3 linked regions of the Schizosaccharomyces pombe genome follow. The protein of the gene in region 1 interacts with the protein of each later gene in a pairwise test. Each region holds a gene or a part of one and is shown on either strand. Other genes may lie near its edges.

What was found.
Region 2: the proteins of SPOM_SPBC15D4.08C (region 1) and pil1 interact in a two-hybrid assay, tested with the Schizosaccharomyces pombe proteins (one large-scale study listed by BioGRID).
Region 3: the proteins of SPOM_SPBC15D4.08C (region 1) and sak1 interact in a two-hybrid assay, tested with the Schizosaccharomyces pombe proteins (one large-scale study listed by BioGRID).

Annotation. Positions count from the first base shown.
Region 1 is NC_003423.3:3,025,130-3,027,700, reverse strand, and holds SPOM_SPBC15D4.08C (uncharacterized protein), read left to right. Parts: upstream 1-1,625; coding exon 1,626-2,042; downstream 2,043-2,571. Other genes in the region: met3 (cystathionine gamma-synthase), read left to right, coding at 1-1,260; autophagy-associated protein Atg9, read left to right, coding at 2,080-2,571.
Region 2 is NC_003421.2:346,835-351,781, forward strand, and holds pil1 (lipid binding protein Pil1), read left to right. Parts: upstream 1-1,724; 5' UTR 1,725-2,337; coding exon 2,338-3,393; 3' UTR 3,394-4,331; downstream 4,332-4,947. UniProt on the Schizosaccharomyces pombe protein: Negative regulator of cell wall integrity (CWI) in unstressed cells, probably by inhibiting protein kinase ksg1/ppk21 activity and regulating their downstream CWI pathways pck2-MAP kinase pathway and protein kinase gad8 pathway.
Region 3 is NC_003424.3:3,146,385-3,151,495, forward strand, and holds sak1 (DNA-binding transcription factor Sak1), read right to left. Parts: upstream 3,336-5,111; 5' UTR 3,124-3,335; coding exon 823-3,123; 3' UTR 564-822; downstream 1-563. Other genes in the region: rRNA processing protein Fcf2, read left to right, coding at 1-175; tryptophan--tRNA (Trp) ligase Msw1, read left to right, coding at 4,942-5,111. UniProt on the Schizosaccharomyces pombe protein: Positively regulates cyclic AMP-dependent protein kinase-mediated exit from the mitotic cell cycle.

The sequences.
Region 1 (2,571 bases):
GTTGCCCAGAGGTCTATTTCTCATCTCAAAAGTAAAAGCAGAAGCCGATATGCTTCCCATCCAGATCTACAGGCTTTGAATACTTGGATGACTAACGAAGGAAACCAAGCTAATGATGAAATGGAAGACGTATCCCTATATTTGGAGGAGAGATATGGGCGTAATTTAGATTTAAGTTTGGCTACAGCAGCTAAACTTGTTCTTCGACGACGTATCGCTGGTACCTTAAAAGATGAAGTTGATTTGCAAAAGGCTTTACCCAAAGAAGGGTCTCAGTATTTACGTGAAGTTAAAGGTTTAAGTCACGACGATGTTTTTTTATTTCCTACTGGCATGAGTGCTATTTACAATACTCATCGCATATTAAGGTTGGTGCTTGATGATAGCCGTAAAAGTGTTTGTTTTGGTTTTTGTTATGTTGATACCTTAAAAATTTTACAGAAATGGGGATCTGGCTGCTACTTTTATGGACTAGGTAATGACGAGCAACTTGATGAGTTTGAGAAACGGTTAGAAAGTGGAGAGAAAGTTATGGCATTGTTTTGTGAGTTTCCATCAAATCCTCTTTTAAACTCTCCCGATTTGGTTCGTATTCGGAAATTAGCAGACAGTTATGATTTTGCTGTCGTGGTTGATGAAACAATTGGAAATTTTGTCAACGTTGAGGTTTTACCATTAGCAGATGTAGTTGTCAGCAGCCTCACAAAGATTTTTAGCGGTGATAGTAATGTAATGGGAGGTAGTATGGTTTTAAATCCGTCAAGTCGTTACTACTCTCGAATAAAAGATGCTATGAAGGCTCTTTATGAAGACTTATTATATGATGAGGATGCTTTGACATTAGAAAGAAATAGCAGAGATTTTGCTGAACGTTCACAAGTGATAAACCATAACGCGGAAACAATTTGTAATTTGCTTTATCAAAACCCTAAAATTAAAACTCTATACTATCCCAAATACAATACATCAAAAGAGCATTTTGAAGCTTGCCGGAGAGAAAATGGAGGTTATGGTGGTCTTTTGTCTGTCGTTTTCCACAATCCTGAAGATGCGCGCCAATTTTACGACAAAATCCAAGTAGCAAAAGGTCCCTCACTTGGTACAAATTTTACGTTGGCTTCTCCCTATGCAATTTTAGCTCACTACCAAGAGTTGGATTGGGCTGGTGAGAATGGCATAGATAGAAACCTTGTTCGTGTCAGCGTTGGAATGGAACCCAGCGAACACCTGAAAAATGTTTTTATAAATGCTCTTTCATAACTTGTATCTAAACTGTTTTCAAATAATAGATATTTTTTAAAAACCCAATCATATAACTATAGTTATAGATGAAACTGTCATAGTTATTCTTGAAATTGTTGTTTTTTCTTTTTGGTATTACCTTAAATATATTTAAACAAAATAGAAAATATATGCCTGATGTGATAGGAAAATGTAGTAAAGATATGTTTTTCTAGCTATTTCGAATGTGAGAAATATTTTAGGAAGTTCATTGTCTAAATGTTTACTTCGGGAACAGATGCAACGAGGTACAATACGTTCGCTTGGGGTATGCTACTTTGTTCTCAACGCTCAGTAATAAAGTGCGCGCGCTAGAAATTCTTTTGGTGCAAACCAAAATCATAATGCCCGAATCGGCTCCTTCAACTCCTCCATCTGTAAATCGGAGGCATGAACCAGAAATGCTTTCAGAGTACCCCTCGCTGATGTTTGAACACTCATATTTGGCGTCACCCTCTAGTCCGATTGATCAGGTTCATGACGAACTCAAACACTCTCAGAAACGTCCAAGATTAACTAACGACGAAGAAACAATTCCAGAAGAAGATGACAGTACTGTTCGCCTTACAGACTCAGAGCTTGAAGATCCAGTTTCAAGCAACGAGTTGATTCAAACTTCATGTCACCTGCTCACAAGCGTGTTAACTCAGCTACAGACCAACTTAGATAAACTTAAAGATAGTCATCAAAAAGCATTACTTCGGATACAAGAACTAGAAAAAAAGGTCTCTGAATTAAGCAAAAATAATAAAGATTCATGAGAAAAACCCATATGCCAATTTGAGTGGAATTGCGATCATGTTTTATCAGCCGGCTCAAAACAAAAAGCAATATGACGATCTTGCTGATATAGAAGCTCAAAATAATGTTCCTAATACCCAAGAAGTTTTAGAGGCATGGCAAGAGTCTTTAGACAGTGATGAGGACGAGTCTTCGCCACTTGAGGAATCCAACGGCTTTACAATATCTGAACATGACGATTTCGTAAAAAGCGTTCCAAGAAAGAATAATCCAACGGATTTGCTGTATTCTGGAAAGCTTCTGGACTCAGACGAGCCTCCATCTGTTCATGGAAATTCTTCAAAAGTACCCTCGAAACACCCCAGTCCTTCCTTTCCTGAAACTACTTCTCTGAGGAACCTGCAAAATGGTTCAAAGCAAAAACCAGCACTCCCCAATTTTAACGATCCCCATTTTTATAATGAAGATGTCACTCGCTCTGGACATCCTAATCGATCTATTTATACTCAGCTTCCTCGTAACGAATTTTCCAACGCTCGCGTTCTTTGG
Region 2 (4,947 bases), on another chromosome or scaffold:
CACTCTACTGCACTGCTTGGCACCCTCTTAACTGTCTGTCCTGCTGCGCACTGCCTTTGCGCACCTTTCCCATACCTCGGCTATATGAGACACTAACTTTATCCAATAGACGATCGCTTCTTGCGGCGTTTGGTTATCGTGCGCGCGCACCGTAGGGAAAGGAGGGAAGCAAGGCAGCGGCGGCAGAGCAGGAGTCTAGTACAGTAAGGCAGCGAGGAGGGAAAAGAAGATTTCCCATATGTCGGGAAGAGAGATTTGAGAGAGGGAGAGAAGTACGGACGGTCGGAGGAGCAGGAGAGAGAAGAAGAGCCATGAAAAAGGAAGTGAAAGTAGAAGGGAACTAGTAGGAAAATAGTAGGGAAATAATAGAGGTATTCTTTTGTTTATTTCGTTTAATTTTATTTTATTTCGTTTTATTTTATTTCGAGTATTCTTTTGTTTATTTATTTTCTTTCGTTTTATTTTATTTCCTTTTGTCGCTCTTTTTTCTCTCTTCTCGTCGCTACTCTAGCATTTCTAGCTATTATCAGTACATCGCCATGCCATGTGCCATGCAATGTTATGCTATGCTATGCCATGCCATGCCCGTTACACTCCCGTGTTCCATTTGGTGCTCCATTCCCGTATTGCCAAAGATAGATATTTCCGTATTCACTCGATCCTCTTCATCTTCCGAATAAACTGATAAAATTGTTGCAAGTATCTAATACTCATTCATAGTCAGCGTCGGCATTTTCTTAAACTCGTTTACAATCATTTCTTCTGAATTCATCTAATTTCTTCTGAACTCATTTCATCTTTCTTTTCTTCATTCTTACTACACTCATATCCCGTTTCACTCACAACTCACTTCTTCACAATATCACTCACTCTCTTTCGCTACTTCTTTTCTCTCTCTCACTTTTCCATTTCTTGTCACCTCGTTCCTTGTTACCTACCCTTGTTGCCTCTAACTTTTACCTTTTCTCTATTCTATTCTCTTTTGTTTTAACCTTTTTTTTTATTTTTGTTTCATCCATATTTATCCATTTATATTATCTTTCTTTCTATATTTATCTTTATCGGTCCATTTATCTTTTGTTTTTTCTCTTGTCTCTCTCTCTCTCTCTCTTACCTTTCTTTCTCTTCTCTACTCTACTCTACTCTACTTTACACTACACTATTCTATCCTAAGCTACTCCATCCTCCTCTACACTATCCTATCCTATCCCATTCTCCTCTGTCCTATCCTCCTCCGTTTTATCCCCTCTATCTCTATTCATTTCTCTACTCTATTTCCTTTTTACCCACTTTGCCTTCCTCTGCTCTATCCTTCTTCAACACACCCATCGTCACTTCTCCCTCTTCTCTCTTTACCACATCCTACCACTCCCCGGCCTATTCATTCTTTTCACTCTCTTTCTTTCTTTCACAACGACGACGCGTTTGTTTACCCCATCGGCCCTTCAACACTCGCTGCCCCCCTCCCCTCCCCCTTCAGCTCCAGTTAACGCGGTGCGCCAAACGCATTGGTCAACATCGCTATCCAGAAAGAAATTCGGTTTTATATTATCGCGAATGGGAACGTCATGTTTACGTGATAGAAGGAATGGACATATCTATGGCAACTGTGGCCAGCAAGCTGACCAAATGATGTTTACCTACTCTTGTTCACTACGGCAAGTGATGATATCATTTTCCCACCTTAGCTTTGTATATATAGACTGGCTCGCTCATTTACCGATACACCTTTATCCATACTCACGTTTTCATTGACTTTAGTCAAAACTTTCTTTTCTTTTTTATCCTTTAACTATACTATACTTTATTATAGTATCCTTTCTCATACCATAGGATATAACATACCTTGGGATATATATATATATATAATCTTTTTTTTTTTTATATATACCCCATCACATTTTTGTTATACCCAGAGAATAGCCGCTAAGCAAAAGTTAAGCTAAGCTAAGTGAATTTGAAAGAAATCCAAAAGGAAAATTTCCTCGTTTTTCCCTTTCCCCAAAAAAAAATCCCGACTCCTTTCCATTTTTTCATATAGTCGACAAATTTTTTTATTTTTGGGCTTTTTTTATACACACTCTCTCTATCTAACTATCTATCCTATTTAACTATATACCCACGAAATTTCGTATCGCCCTTTGGTAAAGTGTTAAACATTTTTCGTCCTACTCTTTTTTTTTTACTTATAACTCGTCCTCTCTCTACTAAATTATTCTCACTATAATTGTTCTTATTAGTATCATCACATACTAATATACTACTACTACTACCACTTATTTTTATTATTACTACCATCTCTTCTTATTTACCCACATCTATTTCTATTTCTGCAAGATGATGAACCGTGCGTACTCTTTAAGAAACAGCCGTGCCCCTACGGCCTCACAATTGTTAAACCCCCCTCCTCCCTCCTCTTCCACTCGTAGTGGTCGTTTGTTTGCCCCCTTGAGTCATACCATGCGTATCAACCACGCTGCCACCTTCACCCCTGACTTGGCTAAGCGTTTGGCTGTCTTGGTCAAGATGGAAAAGAACGTGATGCGCAGTATGGAGGTCACCATCCGTGGCCGTCGTGATTGTGCTCGCCAACTTTCCTACTGGGGTGAGGACTGCGATGACGATATCAGCGACGTCACCGACAAATTGGGTGTCTTGTTTTACGAGATGGCCGAGTTGGAGAACTACTTGATCGATCGTTATGACCAATACCGTATGACGTTGAAGTCCATCCGTAACATCGAGTCCTCTGTCCAACCCTCTCGTGAGAAGAAGCAAAAGCTCTTGGATCAAATCTATGCTCTTAAGCATAAGGATCCTGAATCCCCTCGCTTGGTCACCATGGAGCAAGAGCTTGTTCGTGAGGAGGCTGCCTGTTTGGTTGCCGAGGCTCAACTTTCCAACACCACCCGTGAAAAGTTCAAGCAAGCCATGACCTTCAACTTGGATGCCCTCCACGAGCATGCCGAGAAGCTCAACCTCATTGCCACCTATGGCAGACATTTGTTGAACTTGATTGACGACACCCCCGTCACTCCCGGTGAGGCTCGTCCTGCCTACGATGGTTATGAGACTTCCCGCCAAATCGTCATGGATGCTGAGCACGCCTTGAGCTCTTGGGTTCCCAGCCAACCCGCCGTCAACTTTGTCAAGCCTCAAATCGAGGATGATGCCCAAAGTGACGCTCGTTCCTGGAACGAGTATGAGGCTCAAGGTGAGCCCGTCCCCGTTGAGCAAGTCACCCACTTACAAGACGACGTTCAATCCGACACTAGCGAGATCATTGAGAACGAGCCTGGCATGCACCCTCATGTCCATGCTGAGCGTATGTCTCGCATTGCTTCTGAGTCTAGCGATGCCGTTCCTCAGCAAACCGCCGTCCAGGTTGCTTAAAAAAACTCTTTACTTTTTTTCTATTTGTCGTCGTGGAGAGGGAAATTGCAGTGTCAAGCGAAAATAAAAAAGAAATTTCTTGAAAGCTTATCGTAATCCCATTTGGGCTTTTTCGTGACTTTTTCCTTTTTGGATGGATTGATGATCCCAGAAACAATCGTTACTGACAAACGATAATGGGTTTATGATATTCTTCCTTCGTTTGTCGACTCTTTTTTACTACTCTTTTCCCCAGGTCCTTGTTTGGTCATAATTTATTTTCTTTATTAAAGAATAATTGTATGTGTCATCTGGTTCCTTTCTCTCTTTTCTTTTGTCATAGAAGGAAGAAGGAAGGTGGTGTATGATTGAATTGCTTCGACGAAATTGGCGTTTAAAAAAAAAGACAGGCTAAAGGCATTGCAAATTCCACACCTCTCGTTTTTTATAAAGAGTTATGAAAAAATGATGCGGACGGATAAAAGTTTGTTGAAGGTGTGGTGGTATCTATCTATCTATCTATCTATATTCCCTTTGTGGACGGAATAGAGAAAGATTTGTTTGATTGAATGAAAGGGGTTAAAAAAACGTCAAAAGTTTTCAATATTTGTTGGTTGTGTTTTTGTTATCCATGGAAAAAAAATTTTTTAAACTGTCTTTTTTTCTCCCCTTTTTCCTTTTATTTTATTTTATTACAATCGTGGATATATGTTGCTTTGAGAATTCAATCGACCGAGAGTTTGATTGGTTTATTTTTTTCGTCAGTGACAGGTATGAGCTGAAAGAAAACTTAATTTAATAAGCTGGCGTGCGCGAAGGAGAGCATGTTAGACGGAAACCCTAGTTTGCTCATAGCTAAGAAACTGTTCAATTTTTACATAGTTATTATAAGGCGGAGATGTCGCAATTATTTTATTATTATACCTTTTATTATAATTATTATTTTATTTGTTTTTATATGTTGCTGCTATTGCTATCGGAGGAAGAAAAAGACTCTAGACTGGCTTGGCTTGGCTGGCTGGTGGTGTGAGAGGGGGAATTTGAAGAAAGTGTGTTTTGCTTTTAGTGGGTTTAGCGTAGCTATTATTTTGTTGGTAGTATGATGGATATTTGTGCCAGCTTGGCTAGTCTTTTGCACGTGAAGGATGATGTACTTCGTTGCAAAGAGCCTTTTTTTTTCTTTTTGAGGTAGGTAGATTTGATTAATCTTGAGAATAAGAAACCATAATATGATTGAGAAAAGATGGAAGGCGAGATGGGTAAATTGCAAGGGTAGAATAGTAAAGTGTATTATGAGTTGGAAGTTAGTTAGTATGTTATTATTATTAAGAAGTAATTATTAGAATTAGCAATGCAAGTAGTAGGAATCGATGTATTAGGAGGAGCAGAATTAGGAGTAATAAGCGAATACTTTAGAAGAGGAGTCAATGTCGAAAAAAGAGAAAACAAGGTAAATTATTAACGCCTTTCCAAAATTATTGTTTTACTTTTAATTTAGTTATACCAGAATTGAATCGAAGCTTATGCTACACTTGTGTAAAATGAATCCCAATGTGAATAAATCGTTTTTTTCAA
Region 3 (5,111 bases), on another chromosome or scaffold:
TCGTATCCCCACTCGAGAGCGCAAAGAGACAATTGTTGACGAATTATTGCACGATTCAGAAAGACGATCGTACTTCAAGAAAAAATATCTAGAATTACAAAAATCGAAAATGAGTGGACGGAAGGGGCAATATAAAAAACTTCAGCAGCGCCGAAAACCTTCTTACTTGAAATAGTGGTTGATGTTTCCATTTTCCGTTGTTTAAGTTATTTTGTCGTTTTTTTAATTTAATATATGGTCTTTAAGGGGAATATTTAAACATTTTATTTGAAGTCTTGTTTTTTAAACACGAAGTTTCTCGTAGAAAGTTCGCTTTTAGTATGATGCTGTTTTTTTGGGGGTTCGCTATTCTTGTTGAATGATATCGATGCCAATTTCCTCATTTGTATGGGCTTAATATTCTTGTTACTGCCAGAGAAATGCAATAATTACACTCAATAGTTTAAATAGGTTTTATAAAATAGTTATCGGAGAACATTTATATTAATCAATACATATGTGATAGTCGATATCAAAATTAAAGACAAAAATGTTGAAACTCTATTTACTGACAGTGAAATTTTAAAAGAAATAAAAAACAAATATAAAGTATAGTCACTTTCAATTTGGTATATGTATGGACGTTCACCCATAAGAAACAAGCGCCAGGATTATAGTAATCTAATTGCATTTCAAAAGTTCACAGACTTAAACAAATAGACCTCCTGAACAAAAGAAACATATATTAAAAAACAAAAACAATAATATGAATGATATTAACTTTTGTCAGTGTAATTACGCTTGCTTTTTCGAAGCCCTAAAAAGGGTCAACTATATTGTACATCAACTACAAGCACCATTTGTATCAAATACAATGGATATATAGTCGTCTTCCTTTTGCTTCTGAGCATTCTGGTAGGCAGCTTCCATCAAGGAATTTTTAGTGGCTTGTTGTTGTTGTTGTGATTGCAAAGCTTCGATGTCTTGTTGGAAGTGTTGCTGGGATTGACGGTGCTCCTGTAAATGAGGAGGGATATTACTCTGAGATATTCCAGCTTTATTATGAAAGTTAGCATGATGCTGTTCCAGCTCATCATAACTATCATCGAGGTATCCGCCAATCTCTGCCACCCAAGTCATGTATTCATCGACCCAACATCTAATTACCCAAAGAGCCCCAAATGCTTCACCTCCACTGACCGTGATTTCACGAAGCACACTAGTTTGTAAAGCGCCTAGGCATAGAAGAAACATTCTAGGAGAGCAGGAGGGAAATCTGGAAGGCAACTCCAGAAAAAAATCTGCCATACGATCTAAAACACCATCAATTTGTCGAAGTTCGACCCTGTTCATTGATGTATCACTGGCTTCATGTTTGTCCTTCAAAGGGTCTAAAAGCTCAGAAGGATTTGAACAGGTTGAAAGGATAGAATACCACTCATCCAACGCGGCTACTGCTTCTTTGTCATTGCACATTAATTCTCTATGTACAATAAATCTTGTACTGACAAATCGTTCCCAGTCGTTACAAATTAAATGCCTGTCGGCAGGGTTGGCAAGGAACCTAGCAGCAGCATGAGCCGTATCGTTGACACGCAAAAGACGAGACAATAAGTTACTAAAGATTGCGGCAGTCTCAGATTTGACTTGGAGAAGACAAGATGAATGAGAAGCGTATATGCTGGATATGTGATTAACGAGATTCTCAGCTAAATGACGCAGTAGCACCAAGACTGGCGGAGGTACCACTTGAAGAGTCATAGGGAATAGCAACTTCAGTATTTCCCTGTACATAACGGTATCAGAACGCTCAATCCATTTCGTGAAATAAGGAGAGGACAGCAAAGCTAAAAGAGAAGGAGAGAGGGAATTGGGAAAGTTAGAGATCTCGGACAGAAATTGCTTGAGATGCATATACCGGACTGATTCAATTAGAGTAATGCAATGCGAAGAATAAATGTTCATTAATGCAGATTTCGCCTCGACATTATCGTATGGACCATTTAAATAATAGTCAATAGGAGGTAAGGAAAATGAAGACACGTCTAATGATGGGATCCAAGGAAGCTTATGAGGAGGCAAGAATTTAAGTTTAAGTTTGAAGAATAGGGAATGTTGAAGATTAAAATCTTCTTGTGCAGAAGCAGGATGCAAGGTAGGTACTATCGAAGAAGTACCGGGTACAAACGAAGAAGAAAACTGAGGCATGGGTTGAGAAAAATAGGTCGGTTGGGACACAGAACGGGGTGGTGCAGGTGAAGGTACCGAAGAATGAGAAAGTTGTGGCGGAACATTGGATTGTGAAAGATGTGAAGGTAGGGGATGGGCTTGTGGAGCAGCAAAAGAAGGAGCCAATTGCAAATTGGTTTGACTTCCTAGCAAAGGTATAGAAGGAGGAGGCGAATTGTAAGGATCTGATGAAGGGGTGACAGCGGATTTTCTAACTATAGCCGCAGCATTAACCGATGCAGGGCTGCTTTCTACACGCTGATTTGTGTTTTGAATAGAAGAAACATCGTTTTCAAAATGATTGGGAATAGGTTTGGGAAACGAAGAACAGGAAACGGGGGAAAGACTTGAATCTGAAAAGGTACGTAGTCTGCGAAAAGAGTCTTGACCACGCAGTTTAATACCACAATAATGGTATTTTGAGTGGCCACGCATGCCTAAACGTCGGGTTTTGATGGAAGGAAAGAGCAAACGAACCAGTTTTCCAAACGAAGCGGAATTTAGAGGTTTGATATGCAAAGAGTTACAGATTTCGACGTAATGAGCGTATATTTGATTTCGTTGGACAGCAGCATCTTGTTGTTCTTCACAAGCACGCTTTAACCAACATATGCCAAAAACCTGGCGAAATTTTTCCGAATTGGCACTTACGTGGTCCATTCGCAGCTTTTCCGCTAGCGACTCTAAAGAGTAATGTTCATGTTCCAACGCAAGTCTTTTTAGTTCTGTCTCTTGCTCTAAATCACTTCCTCGTGGATGTGCAGATTCGGAGGTTATGGAGGGGCGATTCAAAAAATTCTCCTCCTGGGGAAGCATAAAATGAGTATCAAAGCGTTGAACCGGGTCCAATTGATCTTGGACATTCATATCTGATCTAGACAGAGGTATTTGACCTGGTAAATCAGATGGATTCATAATCCTGTGCCTGACAGAACGTTTATCGGAAGTGCAAAAATTTACCACAAAAAATTATCTACTTGCCAACATCCAACCGGTACTATACAAACCTTTTTTAAGATACCAAAAATTAAAAAGCACCCTCTATACGTCGTAACTATTAAATCCTCAGAAAATATTTGAGGGGCAAATTGACCAGCCTTGGCTAGTCGGAAATGCTCAAGTGTGGTGAAGACAAGAAGATGCTTATGGGCAAAGAAAGCGCCAACTCCTCGAGGTCGTAAAAAAAATGTTTCCACCGTCGATCACTATCGCTTGTTAAGCGCAAGGATTTTAAACTTCGGTGTTTAAAAGACAAGGATAATCACGGCACTGCAGTGGGGCGCTTGATTACATTCTTAATTCTTCGCTAGCTTAATTTTACATCAAATTGCTTTTCTTTCCACCTCCTTCGGGCTTGTTAATTGTTATTTACGATATCAATCCATGATCCTATTCGTCGTTGCGAAGTCTTGAACCATTGAAACGTTAAATGAAATAGTGAATTTCATTGCACCTAAACCAAAGCAGTCGCTTGCATGCTTACACACACCAATCATAAGGAGGTGAAGAATGAATGCAAATAGCCGAAGTAAAGTCCATACAAGCTTCTTCTGTTTAATTTCTTTTTTCTTTTTTCTGCGGATTTAAAAGACTTTTATCTTTTCAAAAGAATCTTCATTTTCACGATAGCGTTTTTAAAACGACGAACTAACAATGACTTGTTTTTCTACCAAAATAGTAGCGGGTATTGCGGAAAACCCGTATTTTCGAGCTTTTTGAAAATCATTGTCTACTGCTAAAACATCACTAACACAAGTAGAATATTGCTGAAATCATGACTATTTAGTCAAAAAATTTCCTTTTTCTTCTTAGGAGTGGTAGAGGGAGGAAAGTAAAAATCAACGAGAAACTTTGCAGCGCTTATTTACCGCAAAGTGGGGATGGCGAGTCAATATGGAATAAATTAATGGAAAAAAAAAGAATGGCATGACCTGCGCATTCTTGTATGTTTTTTTAGTCGATCTATCGTACACAAAAAGCATCCAAAATTTTTTTACATTAAATTTCTACACCAACTTAAATATCATTTACAAAGTTTTTATACTTTAAAAAACATGTTTGTTTATACAAATTTACTTGCTCTCTTCAAGTTTTACGAACTTCTGGACACTTGTAACAAATTCGTTAAAAAATAAAAAAAAAATAACCTCACGCTTAAACGAGCTATTTTCGGTAGATTTTTAACGGCTTAAAGTTCATTCAATGACTCGCTCCATGTAAACTATCCTTCTTTTATGAAGAATTCAAATACCCACCATTGTAGGATTTTCTCCATACTTTCTAACAATATCACTTTCCGCCTTTAATCTTTTTTTTCCTCCCATAGTTTGGGTTTCTTATCCCATTTTTTGTTATAGGCATCTTCTCAGTTTCTGAGGTATTGCAACGCTTTAATTGTATGGTTATGAACTTTAGCTACTTGATTTTACCAAAAAAATAATCCCGTTTTGATACCATTTATCAACTATCTTTGGTAGAGAAGAAAAGTTTCTATCCTGTTGTCTTATCTGCGTGTCATTGAACATTCCTCCTATATTTTGCTTGTTTTCATTCTGACCTAGTCATAAGTGTAGCATTCGTTTCTACGGCCTTGTTCCTTTTTGAAAAAATTGTCTGCGAGCTGTAATCAGTTGGATTATAACACAGCTGTTTTTTTTTATTTTCATTACATTTATTCTTTATCTTTATTTATTTGTTCACTTTATAAACCAATTAAATAAAAAGTAATAAAGAATGGCTAAACTTCCAAAAATCACTTCTCTCCTTCCACATAGCAGAGTTGTTTCAGGTATTCAGCCTACTGGAATTCCTCACATTGGCAATTATTTGGGATCTCTAAAGCAATGGGTTCAACTACAAGAGGAAGCCGCTCGTACCCCATTCTCCAAATGCTTCTTCTTTGT